Coturnix japonica: one gene and its partner. The protein of the gene in region 1 interacts with the protein of each later gene in a biochemical or structural test. Links are inferred from orthologs where the notes say so. Each region holds a gene or a part of one and is shown in the gene's direction. Other genes may lie near its edges. The genes, in order: RBSN and RAB5C.

What was found.
Region 2: the proteins of RBSN (region 1) and RAB5C form a complex in vitro, tested with the Homo sapiens proteins (2 studies listed by BioGRID and IntAct, with this or other methods). The link is inferred for Coturnix japonica from reciprocal best matches to the Homo sapiens genes RBSN and RAB5C.

What each region holds. Positions count from the first base shown.
Region 1 is NC_029527.1:17,037,911-17,045,331, forward strand, and holds the start of RBSN (rabenosyn-5), read left to right. Parts: upstream 1-3,223; 5' UTR 3,224-3,431; exon of another isoform or gene 3,432-3,548; 5' UTR 3,549-3,682; coding exon 3,683-3,845; intron 3,846-4,937; coding exon 4,938-5,078; intron 5,079-6,739; coding exon 6,740-6,840; intron 6,841-7,421. UniProt on the Homo sapiens protein: Rab4/Rab5 effector protein acting in early endocytic membrane fusion and membrane trafficking of recycling endosomes. Required for endosome fusion either homotypically or with clathrin coated vesicles.
Region 2 is NC_029542.1:4,450,368-4,457,066, reverse strand, and holds the end of RAB5C (ras-related protein Rab-5C), read left to right. Parts: intron 1-561; coding exon of another isoform or gene 562-611; 5' UTR 612-639; coding exon 640-805; intron 806-1,851; coding exon 1,852-2,003; intron 2,004-2,310; coding exon 2,311-2,433; intron 2,434-2,811; coding exon 2,812-2,905; intron 2,906-3,274; coding exon 3,275-3,390; 3' UTR 3,391-4,447; downstream 4,448-6,699. Other genes in the region: HSPB9 (heat shock protein beta-9), read right to left, coding at 5,856-6,434. UniProt on the Homo sapiens protein: The small GTPases Rab are key regulators of intracellular membrane trafficking, from the formation of transport vesicles to their fusion with membranes.

The sequences.
Region 1 (7,421 bases):
TCATCACAACTCACTGTAGTTGCAACCCTTGTTGCTGTGCTGTTTGAATTCAACATTAAACTACTAGACAGTAATTTACCACTTTAATAAGCTTTTAAAATTGTCCTACTGAAAATGAGCAGTCACTGAAGCTATGGGGAAAAGCATATTAAAAAAAGAAGAAGAAAAAGGAAGGAGGAAAGGAAAAAAGGAAAAAACAAAGAAATTTAGCAGCGCTGTGTGCTGTGAAATCCACTGCAAAGAGCCCCAGCAAGCCCTCGGTTGTTCTCAGACATGCTTGTTGTGCCATCTAGTGAAAAGATGTTTCTTTCATTCTGCACATCTCTTTTCCTGCTCCTTTCTTACTCCCATATTAGCAAGCCATACTTCTGATTAGACGAACAGAACACACACATGCACAACAGGAACAAGAAAACCGAAATGCCTACAGCCAAACCATCACAAGTCCTGCACCTAATTTTGCCTTTTTCACTTATTTCCACGATCACTCTTCCCTACATACTTCCTCCCATCCAAGCTCAGATCTTACTGCCCTTCTCTATCTCTTCAGCTCCTGCCAGCTTCCCAGAGGCACCTGTAGATATGGAGGATTCCTTCACTGGCTCAGTGTGTTACAGATCACTGGCCCCAGCAGAGGCCCAAACAAAAGGAGCAGGTAACAACAAAGAGACAGGTAGTTGGTTCTACCTGAATTTGCACAAGGCATGAATTCGTCTCAGTGCTATAATCATAGAATCATAGCATCCACCAAAGGATGGAAAAGACCTTCAAGATCATGTAGTCCAACCATGCCCACTGATCATCTCCCTCATTGCCAAATCTCTGCCTTCCCTGAACAACTCCCAGGGACAGTGAATCAACCAACATCCTGGGTAGCCCATTTTAGCACCTAAACACCAATTTGGAGAAGGAATTTTTTCCTAATATCCAACCTGAATGTTCCCTGGTGCAACTTGAAGCCATTCCCCCAAGTCCTAACCTTATTTACATGGGAGAAGAGGACAACCAACACCTCGCCACCACCTCCTCTCAGGGTGTTGTAGAGAGCTGCAAGGTCTCCCCCGTGCCTCCTCCTCTCCATACTGAAAAATCCCAGCTTCCTCAGCTGCTCCTCAACCCTCACAGTTTCATTGTCCCTCTCCAGACACACTCCAGGGCCTCGCTGCTCTTATAGTAGCGAAGGGCACAAAATGGAACACAGTACTTAAGGTGCAGCCTCACAAGAGCTGAGCACAGGGGGATGATCACCTCCCTGATCCTGCTGACAACACTATTTCTTCTACAAGCTGGGATGTCATTGGCCTTCTTGGCCACCTGAGCGCACTACTGGCTCATGTTTAGCCGAGTGTCAGCCAACACCCCCAGGTCCATTTCTTCCACACTGTTTCCAGCCACTCTGCCCCAAACCTGTAGCGCTGCATGGGGTTGTTGTGGCCAAGGTGAAGGACCTGGCAGTTGGTGTTGCTGAACTTCATCCTATTGGCCTCAGCCCAGCTACCCAGCCTGTCCCAGTCCCTCTGAAGAGCCTCCCTACCCCCAGGCAGATCAACACTTCCTCCCAACTTGGTTTCATCTTCAAACTTACTGAGGTTCCACTCAATCCCACTGTCCAGGTCATCAATAAATATATAAACAGGACAGGCCCCAGTACCAGTCCCTGGGGGAGCACCACTCATGACTGGTCACCAGCTGGATTTAACTCCATTTAACTCCATAACTTTGGGCCCAGCCCTCCACCCAGCTCTTTACCAAGCCAAAGGCTGCCAGTTTCTCTAGTAAGACATTTCTCTAGGAAACAGTTCAGCTGCATAAAACCCAGAGAGATCATGCCACAGCAAGTGAGCCCTGGGATGCACGAAGCTTCAGGTTGGTTCCTGCTCCCTTTCTCCAAAGAGAGGAACACAAGGAAAAACAGCGCCCTGAGTTGCTCGAGGTTCATTGTCCTCAAGCATTGTACTAACTTAATTCCACACACTATGCAATGAGAATGAGAAAACCTAGGAGCTTTGCGAGATGCTTACGGGAAAAGGATTTTTCAGATCCAGACTATTGAGCACATCCTGGCAGGTCTGTTCCATCTGCGCTTAAAATCCTTCCAGACAAGTCTGGGAGAGTCCAGAAATGTATTTCTTACATAACAGCAGTATGAAAAGCCAGCCAATCAGTTCTCCTTATTTCTCTCTTTTAAGTACCTTCCTTCTTTACATACATTGATGATTTTATTTCTAGTGCCTGTAGGGTGAGGATTTTTCAAGTTTTAAAGTGCAACTGAAAACATTTAAGAATATTTTAAAACTTTTCAGCCCATGGGGTTAATAAAGCCCCGTCATGAAAAACAAACAAACAAACAAACATAAATAATCAATATATCAGGCCTTCTAGAAAGAAAGAAAGAATACACTTCTAGAGGAGTACCTGACCAGTGGAGTACCTGACCAGTGCAGCTTCCACAGCAAGATAAGATCTGAGATTTTAAAATAAAGATAAATTAAGTCCGCATAAAAAAAAAAAAAAAAAAGTTTGCATGCTCGATGGGAACCTGGTTGTGATCATGCTTCTACATTATTTCTACAGCTGTTTTGAGAGCATGACGGCTCCCAACAGGAAACTGCATATATAAAAATTCAAAGAGTGTGGCTGTTTATAGTATTCAACTACTCCTACGGTGAAATCAGTTCAATTTTGACGTTGATTTCCCATTACGGTTTGGCAGGATGGTGGAATTACAAATATAAAATGGGTCAGATTCAATGGCGATGCGACAAGATGCTGAAAGTGACCGTGTAACAGCCTGCAATGGCACCAGAGGAGAGTCGGGCTGGTATCAGCAGAGATACGCCGTCCGAAGAGCGCTCAGGTGCCGGCATGGGCTGCCCAGGGAGAGATGAGGGCACCGCCGCGCGGGCGCTCCAGAAGCGCGGAGATGCGGCCCTGAGGGATGCGGTCGGTGGGCGCGGTGGGTGCGGGTCAGACCCAGTGATCTTAAAGAACTTTTCCAACTTCTTCGACTGCCGAACCCTCTTCGTCCTCGCGGCCTCGGAATACATTTCAGCGCCGCTCATCCCGCTCGCCCATCCCGCCGGAAATCAGCTCCGCGGGCGCCCGCCTCACGGGCTGCGTCCATAGCACCGCCCGCCGCAGCCGGAGCTCCACTGGGCCGGGCCCCGAGCCCCGAGTCCCGCCTCCCCGCGGAGCCCGTCTCGTGCCCGTCCCTCCCGCCCTTCGGTACCTCGGCTCTGGCCCCGCCCACCGCCTGGCTCTGCTGCTTCGGGGCTCTCGGGATTCACCGAGCGGGTGCGAACGGCACAGACACGGCAGAGACGCGGCCGCGCAGCTCCTGCCTGGGACCGAGCCGAGCTGACGGGACGGGGAGCGCGGGGCCGCGTCTCGGGGATAGCGGCGAAGCCGGGCCGGGCGCCCCTCAGCGTGAGGTGAAGCCCCGCCCCATCCTCCGCGCGGCGCTGGGCCTGGTCCGGTTCCCGGGCTCCTCCTGAGTCCGGGGGTCGTCTCACCCGCCCTCCGCCGCTTCTCGCCTCTTTCCTGTACAGCGAGGGTGTGGGTACGGCCCTCGAGTGGGCTCCTTGGCCTTGGCAGGCGCAGAGGCGGGCCGCCTGGAGGAGAGGCCGTCCCGATGTCTTTCAGGATGGCGCGGGCGATGCCGCAGCTCTGAGCCCGCAGCGCCATGGCAGCCGGCTGCGCGCCGCCGTTCGGGGACGCGGCGGAGATGCGGGAGGGATTCCTATGCCCGCTGTGCCTGAAGGACCTGCAGGCGTTCCAGCAGCTGCGGGCGCACTACGAGGAGGAGCACTCGGGCGAAGACAGAGACGTCAGAGGCCAGCTCCGAAGTAAGGGCCGCGGCGGTTTCTCGGTGTTCTCCCATCTGTTGTGTTAAATCCCATATAAGAGAAGCTGCCAGAGCTCTGGGTGTCTGTCAGTACTGGAACGCTGACAGAAATACGCTACAAGTGAGGCGTGGGGCCCCGTTTCTGTGTGCAGGACGTAGGCCCAGGCAAAGTGTGTTGCTTATTTCCTGACGCGAGGGATGCGTCGCCTGTAAGTGGGCGTTGTGTAGGCCTCTGTAGGCCTCTGTGCTGTTTGGGTGCGGTGCTTTGTGCTGCGGGTCGTTACTGGCTTTTGTTTGTTTTCTGGCTGTGTTTTTAACACGAGAGTGCTCCGGTTCATTCTGTAATGCATATAAGTTCCCAGACGTTAGTCAGAGGCCTTACAGAATGAGGGAACCTCAGCTTCCTGCCATGTACCAGCCCGGGTCTTTGCTCCTGTGCTACTGTTGCTGTTCTTCCCATCTCATTATAGCATTACACTTGCAACTCACAATTTTCAGCAGGTGTATAAGGGAATTAATTCTAGAATATATTGGGGGGTGGGGGGGAAGTGGCATCCTTAACTTCTGTTACCATAAAAATGCTGGAGTTTAAAGTTTTCCAGGAAACTGCCCTCCTCTCACTAGCTTTTGAATAAGATAATGTGGTGATCTTTAAATTCTTTTGAAGTTACTGAGGTGCACAGGTGCAATGACGCTCTTAGCTTGTACTTCTTTGCAAAAGTATGAAGAATTGAACATCCTTGAATCCAAAGAAAATCATTAGGAATTAAGAGAGTGCATATATAATGTCCCAGTGTTCTATGAAATAGGGTCCCACAGTTTAATACAGTTCACTCTTTCATAGTGATGTCCCTGAATGGAGTGTCTAAAACTACCTGTTTATCATTAGGACTGTAGCACTATAACAGATAACAAAAAAGCATTTCCTGCTTTTGGAGACTCTGTACAATATGTTGGTTCTAAACAGAGCATATTGACTTGTTGTGAAGGCAAAAGATTTGTTCTGAATGATAAGGAGCATACTGTACTCGTTTAACATGGTAAATACTGAGAGGCAAACTGCTCTTTTATATGTGGGTTTATCTTTTTTCAGGTCTTGTCCAGAAGGCCAAGAGAGCAAAGAAGAAATTACTGAAACGAGAAGATGACAGAACTGATTCTGGATCTCAGGAACGATACGAGTCATTCAGCTATGGTGGCATAGATCCGTACATGTGGGAGCCCCAGGAAGTAGGTAGGTGAGCTTGAAAGTGATGCATGGTAGAGATAACTTTTAATTTTATTTGGGTTTAAGTTTAATTGCTGAAACTGTGGAATTGTCTGTACTGTATGTGACTTATTGTAGCATTGAGTTGTGACTTCCATACTGTTTCTCTGCAGCCTGCACGCATTGTATAGGACAAAAGTGAGAAAGTGAAGATCAGGGGTGGGGAGGGAAGATCTATAGAGCCAGGATGTAAACTAGCCTCAAAAGCTGGATAGTTGTCATTTCATTGTGTCTGAGCTATTGAGTTCTCTTTGGTACATATTTAGCTCTGTGCATCTAGCTTTACTAAGGGTTCTGCAACTACTGTCATATGGCTTTTTACAAAACAGATGATAATCCACTACTACTATTTAATATTGCTACAGCCATATTAAATCTATGGCTTTTTGGTTACTCTTAAGTAGATGTTTTGCCAGACATTTAAACTAACAGTTGTCCCTTAGTTTGAACTCTCTTCCAGCTATTTCTTGGATTTCAGGTATAGGTAATCTGTCATTAAGTAGTTTCACTTCAAAAAATAAGCAGCCAAACTCTGGCTGCAGGTTCAGGCGTTGCAGATGTTAACAAATATGTTGACTAAGCCTGTACTTACAAATACTGTTACTGGAAGTTGCCTATGGTTATTTTCAGGGGGAGGAGGCAGCACTGTCTCTGGTGGGTCCTGTATGTTTTCCTGTGCTGCTGACAGATGAGGAATTGAGTCCTTTGGGATGGCAGAATCCAAGCTTTGGAGATAACTGTCTTTTTTTTTTTTTTAAACCAGAGTGGAGAAGCTGAATCTTACAGATTTTTACATGATTTGCTGGGGGTTTCTGTAATGAAGAGATTGTCACTGCAGAAGTTGAATCTACTGACCTAGAGGGGCTTTCCCATTCCTATGAATTTGGCTACAGAGGGTTTTCTGTGTATTTCATTAGAATGAGGAAGTGACTTTGTACAGTTACTGTCAAAGAGCAACATCTGCTTTTATGTTCTACTAATCAGAAAATGAATAATTTTTGTATTATGACTGTAACTCTGATTTTTTTTTTTTTTTTTTTAAATATCTGGCTAATGAAAAAGATGAAAATCTATTACCCAGATTTATTGAGAATGAATTATATATTTAAGTAGATGCTGTGTTCTTTCGTATACTTGTTTATGAGGTTTCTGTAAATCTGCGCTGTGATCAAGGACTTGGTTCAGACCCCTGGATGTGAGAAGGATGATGGCAATCTGGAAGAAGCTGTTATTGCATAAACCTCAGATAATCATGGGACTTGCATCTTGCGTTTGTTCTAGATGTAGTAAGGAAATAACAGGAGCAGGTCTTGACTACCATACAGGCTGGTAACATGGAATGTAACTGAGAGATAAATATGAAAAAAAATCTGTTGCAAATGTTTTCTTTAATGTCTTCTTTGCTTTCCTTTAGTAGAAATAAAGCACTGCTTATTGCTAGCTTGGAGGCTATAGCCTGCACGCTTCATTCAGGCCAGTACCACGAAGACTTGGAATTCTAATGTGTCTTTAAAATTTTATTTGGACTTGAAAAATAATTGATGAAAAAAAAGGAGAGCTGCCTTTTGAAAGGCGTTTAAACTCATGTAGAACACCCAGGTGACTCTGAGTTCTCCTCTCCCCCTAAGGTGCTATGAGAAGCCATCTTTCCAGTTTCAAGAAATACCGAGCAGCCAGGATTGATCACTATGTAGTTGAAGTCAATAAATTGTTAATCAGGTTAGAAAAGGTAATTTTGCTACTACTTAGTATTCCAGCCATTTAAATGTTTCTTAAATATCCAATACTATTTTATTGCAAAGGATGCCCACTTATGTAGTAATGCAATTGGTAAATGGTAGCCTTCACATGTTACTGTCCTCCCTTTTTTATCCTTGTGTAGTGTGTTTGGTCGTGCTCTGCACTGTGGGTATGGTTTCTGTTTCTGTACAGTATTTTCAAGCACAAGATGCTACATCACGTGCTCTGTGTGCTTTCTTCATATTTTACTTCCTAGGATTACTCCTATTTGTTCTGTAAAATCCCCCACTGATAGCCAACTTACATTTTCAGTCAGACACAATAATATTGAATGATACAAGAACTATGTCAAAATATTCTGACTTTTGTAATTTTGGCAGTAATTGTTTAGTGCTACTTGTCTGAATCTTATTGCCAGATTCAAACATCTTCCTATTTATCTTTTTAAAATGGCATGCTTTTTTTTTTTTTTTTAACATGTTGGGCATGGGAGGGTGTTGTGGGTTGTTTGTCTTCCTTCTTCAGTAAGGAGGAAAAGTTGTGGGGTCGTGTTTTTGTTTTTTGAATGTG
Region 2 (6,699 bases), on another chromosome or scaffold:
AACAGCTTTGTACAAGGGCCTTTACAGTTCTGAACATAACAACTTGCTCTTGTGATCTGGAGGAGTGAGTCAGTGCTGCTGTCCATAATGGATTACATAGGGCACACAAACACCTCTATTCTGTTGGCAGCCTGAAGCTGCTACGTGGTGAACTCGAGAGAGGAGGAAGGAGTTAAGCTCAATTTCAGTTACTTCCAATGAACTGAACAGTGTTTTAATGGACAAGGCTCTAATAACCTGACTGGCACACTGGCTGTTTTCTGCTTGCCTTGCCCTAGTGAGGTGTGTAGCATGGTGTGCAGTGGAAGTGCTGGAGGGCCCGGTGGGGAGGGAGCTCTTATCAGACCCCTGCTCTGAGGAGGCTCACGCAACTTCAGATGCTGTGGGAGCTGCTGACTGATAGGAACTGGCTGATGTGCTGCAGTGCTTGCAGCCAGTAACCTTCCTCAGTGGGAAGGAGCAGCAGCTGTCTGTGCTGATAGAGGCTGTGGGTCAAAACCACCTCTGGAACTGGTAGGGCTGCTCCGGGAGCGTGTCACTAACTCTGGCCTCCTCTTCCAGTTGCAACCTGCCTCCAGGTGGATCCAGTGCAGAACCTGCAGCATCCTTAACTCTTGGCACTCCTGCACTTAGGCCACAATGGCAGGTCGAGGTGGAGCTGCTCGACCGAATGGACCAGCTGCTGGAAACAAAATCTGTCAGTTCAAACTCGTCCTGCTGGGAGAGTCGGCAGTGGGGAAATCCAGCCTTGTTCTGCGCTTTGTGAAGGGGCAGTTCCATGAGTACCAGGAGAGCACGATTGGAGGTGAGTGCCAACTCCAGATGCTGATGGTTAAAAGATGCCGGCCTTGCTAATGCAGCCCAGGAGTATCAGGAGCATTAATGGCTATTTCAGTCTGGTCTGGGCTTTTTGCTATAAATAGTCAAGCAGCTAATGCTTTAACTCTTGGTCTGCAGTTTGTTAGTGTAGAGATCAGTGCACCAGCGAACACTGCTATGGCAACCACGAGTGCTCTGCCTCTCAGGCGTCTTCCAGTGTTTGAATTCCTATTTCTAATTAGATCTGAGGCATTCAGCTTAGTTTATAGCTTCAATGTTTTCTGACCAGGACCTGGGATATCAGGCTTGTTTGTAGCTTGACAAAATAAACTACTTCCACATCTCTTTCAGGCCTAGCTGTTCTTTAGCTTAAAATAGTCAGTGTGGAGTCACCAATCAAAGGTCAGTCAGCACCCAGCCTTCTGAGTGGTAATGTGAGGAGATGTGCACTGAGAGGCTTCATCTGCCCCTGTAGTGACCCATACAGGAAGCAGGGCAGCTTACAGACAGGCAGGGTTTAATGCTTTGCCACAGGGGGCTGTGAGTGATCTGCTGTTCTACCTCAGTCCATGTTCAAGCCTGGCTGTATTAGAACTGAAATGAAAGTATGGCGTTATTCTTGCTGGAACAAGAAAATAACTGGTTTCTAGGCCAAGGAGTGCAGTGTAACTGGGCTGACTGCAGTGCTTTGGCACTGAGGCACTCTGTGAAGCTAATCCTCAGGGTGCTGCAGCTGTATTGTGTGGTCTGGGTGGTGACCCCTGGGGGTGGGTAGCAGTGTAATGTCAGGCTGCTTGCTGGGTGCTCGGAGCCACCTTTCTGTTGGCAGCCTGCTGCCTGGTGGCTCTCTGGTTCCCTCACATAAGTAGCTTGTAACACAGCAGAGCTGTGACTTGCACAGCAGGTGGCAGTGTGCTGGCCTGGCTGGGGCTTCTGCCAGCTCTTGTGCAAAAGCAGAACTGCTCTGAGCTGCTGGCTCTTGCTGGAGGAGCTCTCCAGCTGGAGACAAGGCAAACATCTCTTCTCTTTCAGCTGCCTTCCTAACGCAGACAGTTTGTCTGGATGACACAACGGTGAAGTTTGAAATATGGGACACGGCGGGACAGGAGCGGTATCACAGCCTGGCACCCATGTACTACCGAGGTGCTCAGGCAGCCATTGTTGTCTACGACATCACTAACACAGTGAGTACTGCACCAGGGCCTGAAGTGTCTGCTGGGAGGGAGGCATCTGCACTTATATCTGATGCTTCTCTGTTCCATGGGAGAGTTCTGGGCTTAGGGCTGCTGCAGATGCCTGCCTGCAGGTACTGAGTTTCTTAAACTCGCCACTTCCTTGTTTCTGATCAAGGCTGTCTAAGCTGATAAAGAATCCTGCTACAAAGTGCTGTAGAAGCAGAATGCTTCTTACAGGAAAGACTTGTTCTAATCATATCTTCATTGTGCATTATTAAGAGGCTGCCTTTCCTGACTGCCTCCTTTTTACTTCCAGGACACATTTGTACGAGCCAAGAACTGGGTGAAAGAGTTGCAGAGGCAGGCCAGCCCCAATATTGTAATTGCACTAGCAGGAAACAAGGCAGACCTTGCTACCAAGAGAGCTGTGGATTTCCAGGTAAGTGGGAATGTGGTTCAGCTGCTACCTGAGCAGCCGGGAAAGCAGCTCTCACATTGAGGTGTGTTAAACTCCCAGCCAACCAAAGTACAAGGTGTTAAGTTGCTTGAGACATAGTGTCCACATGTAGCTCACAAACAATCTGTGCTGCTGTATCCTGGCTCTGATGCTGGCACCTCAGCCATGTGCTCCTGTCAGTACTGCACGTCTATCAGCTGTCCTGGCCAGGCAGGGCTTGGGCTGGGGTGGAGGTGCCCAGTTTGGGCTGGGCAGAGGCTGTCTTCAGTGTTTAATAATGCCAGCAAGTGGAGTATGCGGAGCCTGCATGTGCCTCCTCCTGGCAGGATGCCTTTATCACTCTAACGTTATTGTTTCTAGGATGCACAAGCTTATGCAGATGACAACAGCTTGTTGTTCATGGAGACGTCGGCCAAGACAGCAATGAATGTGAATGAAATCTTCATGGCAATAGGTAAGTGTGGTGTGAAAGGGCTGCCTGGAGGAGCTCTGAGCACTGGCAGTACAGCCCACTGAAAACCACAGGGTCTGTGTCAGCTGGGTTCTGGAGGCTCTTACTGGAGTTTATGTGTGACCAGGTTGTTAGACCTGTGTGTGTGGTCACCCAGGTAGTGCAAACCTTGTTCCCTCTCTCCCTTTATCTGGAGTGAATGAGGGTGGAGCAGAATTGGTGACAGCTAAAAGCAGGTTTAATGTACTTGTGCTGCCAGCAGTGTCCTGAGAGCTGGAGGCTGGAGTAGAGCTGAGCTCAGCGTGTGGTCTGCAGTGGGGAGGAGGCTGGCCTCTATAAGAGCGACCTGCTGATACCTTGCTTCTTTCCTAGCCAAGAAACTGCCAAAAAATGAACCCCAGAATGCTCCAGGTGGTCCGGGCAGGAATCGGGTGGTCGACCTTCAGGAGAGCAGTCAGCCCAGCAGGAGCCAGTGCTGCAGCAATTGAGCAGCTGATCTCGCCCGATGGAGCCCTCGAAGGACGTGACTGGAATCCACGCTAACAATCGCACTTACCGTAGAGCAGCTGCTGCCGGTGGCTGCTGTGATTTCTCCATCCCTTTCTGATCATAGGCTGGAGGGAGTTCTTCCACCTGCACCTTTCTGTACAAATACTAATTCAATTCTAAGTCTTAAGTCACTTTTTTAATATATGAACTTCTGCTCTTCCCTCTTCCTGGTGGTGGTGGATGCACGACCTGGTGTCTGCCCAGCCAGCTCATCCCTCCCCACGGGTGAGGGCCAGCAGCACCCAGGTCCCACAGTACTGTAGTTCACTATTGGAAACAAAGGGATATTGAGACTAGACAGCCTTGTTTAAAGTTACCCACGTGTAAAAGCTGAGGCGAATACCAGTACGATATGCCTAGAACAACCACTAAACTGTAGCATTATAGTGACAAACTCCGGCTCTTCAGCCACTTATTGACCAAATCAATTATGAGTATTTTGGGGTGGGGCAGAGGGAAGAAAAACTGATTTCTTCTGTATTTTGTATTGTATGTTTCTTCATGTAACCAATCAGTATCTTGTCAATATAGAACATACAACTAGCTGCCTGTTGTCTTCATTTGTGTTGGACTCTCGCATGCCAACTTCTTTTCTCTCTGGTTCTGTCATACTGCACTCATCCTGTTGCAACTTTTGCAAAAAAAAGAAAAAGAGAATCTTGTATAGAAAATTGTCTTTTTTTGATGGTTGTGATGCCACGAATGTTAACCCCACCCTGGTGTGAATACACGTGGTTTACTGATGTACAGAAGTGGGGCAGGGGAAACCTCGGGTGACCTGTCAGTGAAAACTGTGTATTGCAAAAGCCTGTAATCCCACACGGTGTGAAGGGAGGTATTAAAATGGCTTCTCTTGCCAGACTCTAACTGATGTTGGCTGCTGCCTAGTGCCTAATGCAGTGTCTTATGCATACTGGTATTTAAGAGGAACTGTCAAGCTACTCTTCATCACAAACTTCAGTTTTGTGTGATTAAAGGAAAATTTTTATAAACCTACCACGATCAACAATGTTCGTGTTTCTTAACAAGCAGGAGGGGAGCGGAGTGGAGCAGAACATAACAGGCGTGGTGAGGCCCAGCTCTGCAAGGTGAGGGAGGGATTCCCGCATGGAGCTGCAGAGCCCCTGTCTGTTATGAGGAGCTGGAGCTGGTTTGCTGGCTCATCACAGTGTACAGCAGCATGATTGAGGTAAACAGTGAGAACTGCTCATCACTGCACTTCTGGGCTAACTAGCTATAGCAGGAGCTGAGGAGAGGTGGGAGGAGCAGTATGCATAGGAATGGGGAGTTTACACGACAGCTGGGTGAACTTAGAGATAGTGTGCTCAAATATTGGTCAGCAAATGCCTCTAGTATCTAAAGATGCTAATGTCATGTTTCTGTGTGGCTGTTCATGTGCTGGAGGAGCTCAGAACCCTCATGAGATGTCAGAGATCCCATCGCTTCCAGGATGGTTTGCTGGTGCTTCTGGATTCCCCAGCAGCGAGAGGGACCCGTTGGACAACTGTTACCGGCTCCCAACTGAGCAGCGGCTGGAACAGAGCGAGGTGCTGTTGCCATCTGCTGGTTTCTTGTACAGGAGCTCCTGGCTGGCAGGACTTCATTTCTGGCCCATGCCTCGGGGTCTCCATCTCCCTGATGGAGGCTGTGATGCTCTCAGGGTGTCCTGCTGCTGCCCCAGCCCGTGCTGTTCAGCTGTGACTCCAGTTTGGGGCTGTGCTCTGCAGAGCTGTTGTGCTGCTGGCACTGCTGTGAGGAAGAGCTGCCTGAGCTCAGAGCAGCTTTGACACAAACAGGTGTGCCTGCATGCCTGCAGACCTGCCCAGACCTGGCTGCAAGTGCTGGAGGTGGGGATAGTGCAGGAGCCTGGTTCCAGGTTGCCTGCTGCTGTCATCCCAAAAGGATCTGCAGCCCTTTTCTAAGCTGCATAGGGAGAAAAGTAGCTGTGACGGGACTGCCTCCACCTCCCACATCTTCCAGCAGTTATCTTGCTCTTCAGAGACACTGGGCTGAGCAGGAGGGCTATGGAGATGGTGCAGGCAGCAGCATGGGCAGGAAATGCTACAGTGCAAGAGAACAGGGATGCTCCCCCTGCTCAGAGCAGCACAGTAGCTCTGCTGTCAGCCCCGTAGCACCAAGAGCAGAGAGGGTTTTACCCTCTCCATACACCCCCAAGAGCTGAGAACAAGGCTCAGCCACCCCATCAATCACCCCTCACCCCATCAATCACCCCTCCCCCCCAAAAAAAGAAGCACAACCAAATTCTATGCAAAAGGACTTTTTATTGGATACAAAAACGAGAACATTCCAGTGTAGTGAAAAAGATGATGGAGCGTGTCTGGGCTACAGCCCGAGACTCACTGCCGTCTCTGCTGGTCCCAATGCAGACCGTCGTTCCGTCCCATCACACCTGGGCTTTGCTGGCAGCTCCATCCTTGGCTGCCCCGAGCTGAGGAGCTGCGGGGCTCACCTGGATGGGCACGTTCCTCTCACCAGCAGTTGGCAGGGCCAGCCGAGGGGCCTCGATGCGCAGCTGCCCCTCTGGGGACAGGGAGCAGGTCAGCGCCTCGGCGTCCACGTCCTCGGGCACGTCCCACTCGCGCTTCAGCACCTCGTACTTGTAGGAGAAGGAGCCCTCGTCCGTGTTCTGCGTCTCCTTCTGCCCCACCAGCACCACCTTCCTGCCCACCACCTTCACCGACAGCTGCTCGGGGGCGAAGTTCTTCACGTCCTGGCAGACGGAGAATCCCTCCTCAGTGACCTGGGCTGGGGCTGCGCTGCTGCTCGCTGCCTGCTCTGCGGCCAGGGGTCCGTGGCTGCTCAGGAGCTGCTCGAAGCTGCTCATGAAGTGCCGAGCCTTCTCCATCTCCTGCTGCAGTTCGCTGAAGATGGTCTCTGCGTGCGGCCAGAGGGTCCTCACTGTGCCCAGCCGGGTGGCCAGGGAGCTGGAGGCGAATGGAGCGAGGTGCATCCGGCAAAGCATCGTTGTTGGTATCGTTGGTATCGCTGTTGGTATTGCTGCTGTCGCTGCTGTCGCTGCTGTCGCTGCTGCTCTCAGCTCTTTGCTCTCAGCTGTTTCCTCTCGGGGAGTTGGGAGCGTTGTGCTCCGGCTCCGGCTCCCGCGGCTTTTATCGCCCTCCCCGGGAGGAGTGGCCTCGGCCCGCGGATGTCGTCACCCCCGGGAGAAAAGCGCAGCTCCTTCTGGCCCGTTCCAGCTCGTTCTTGTTACTCATCGCTGAGGTGAGGCA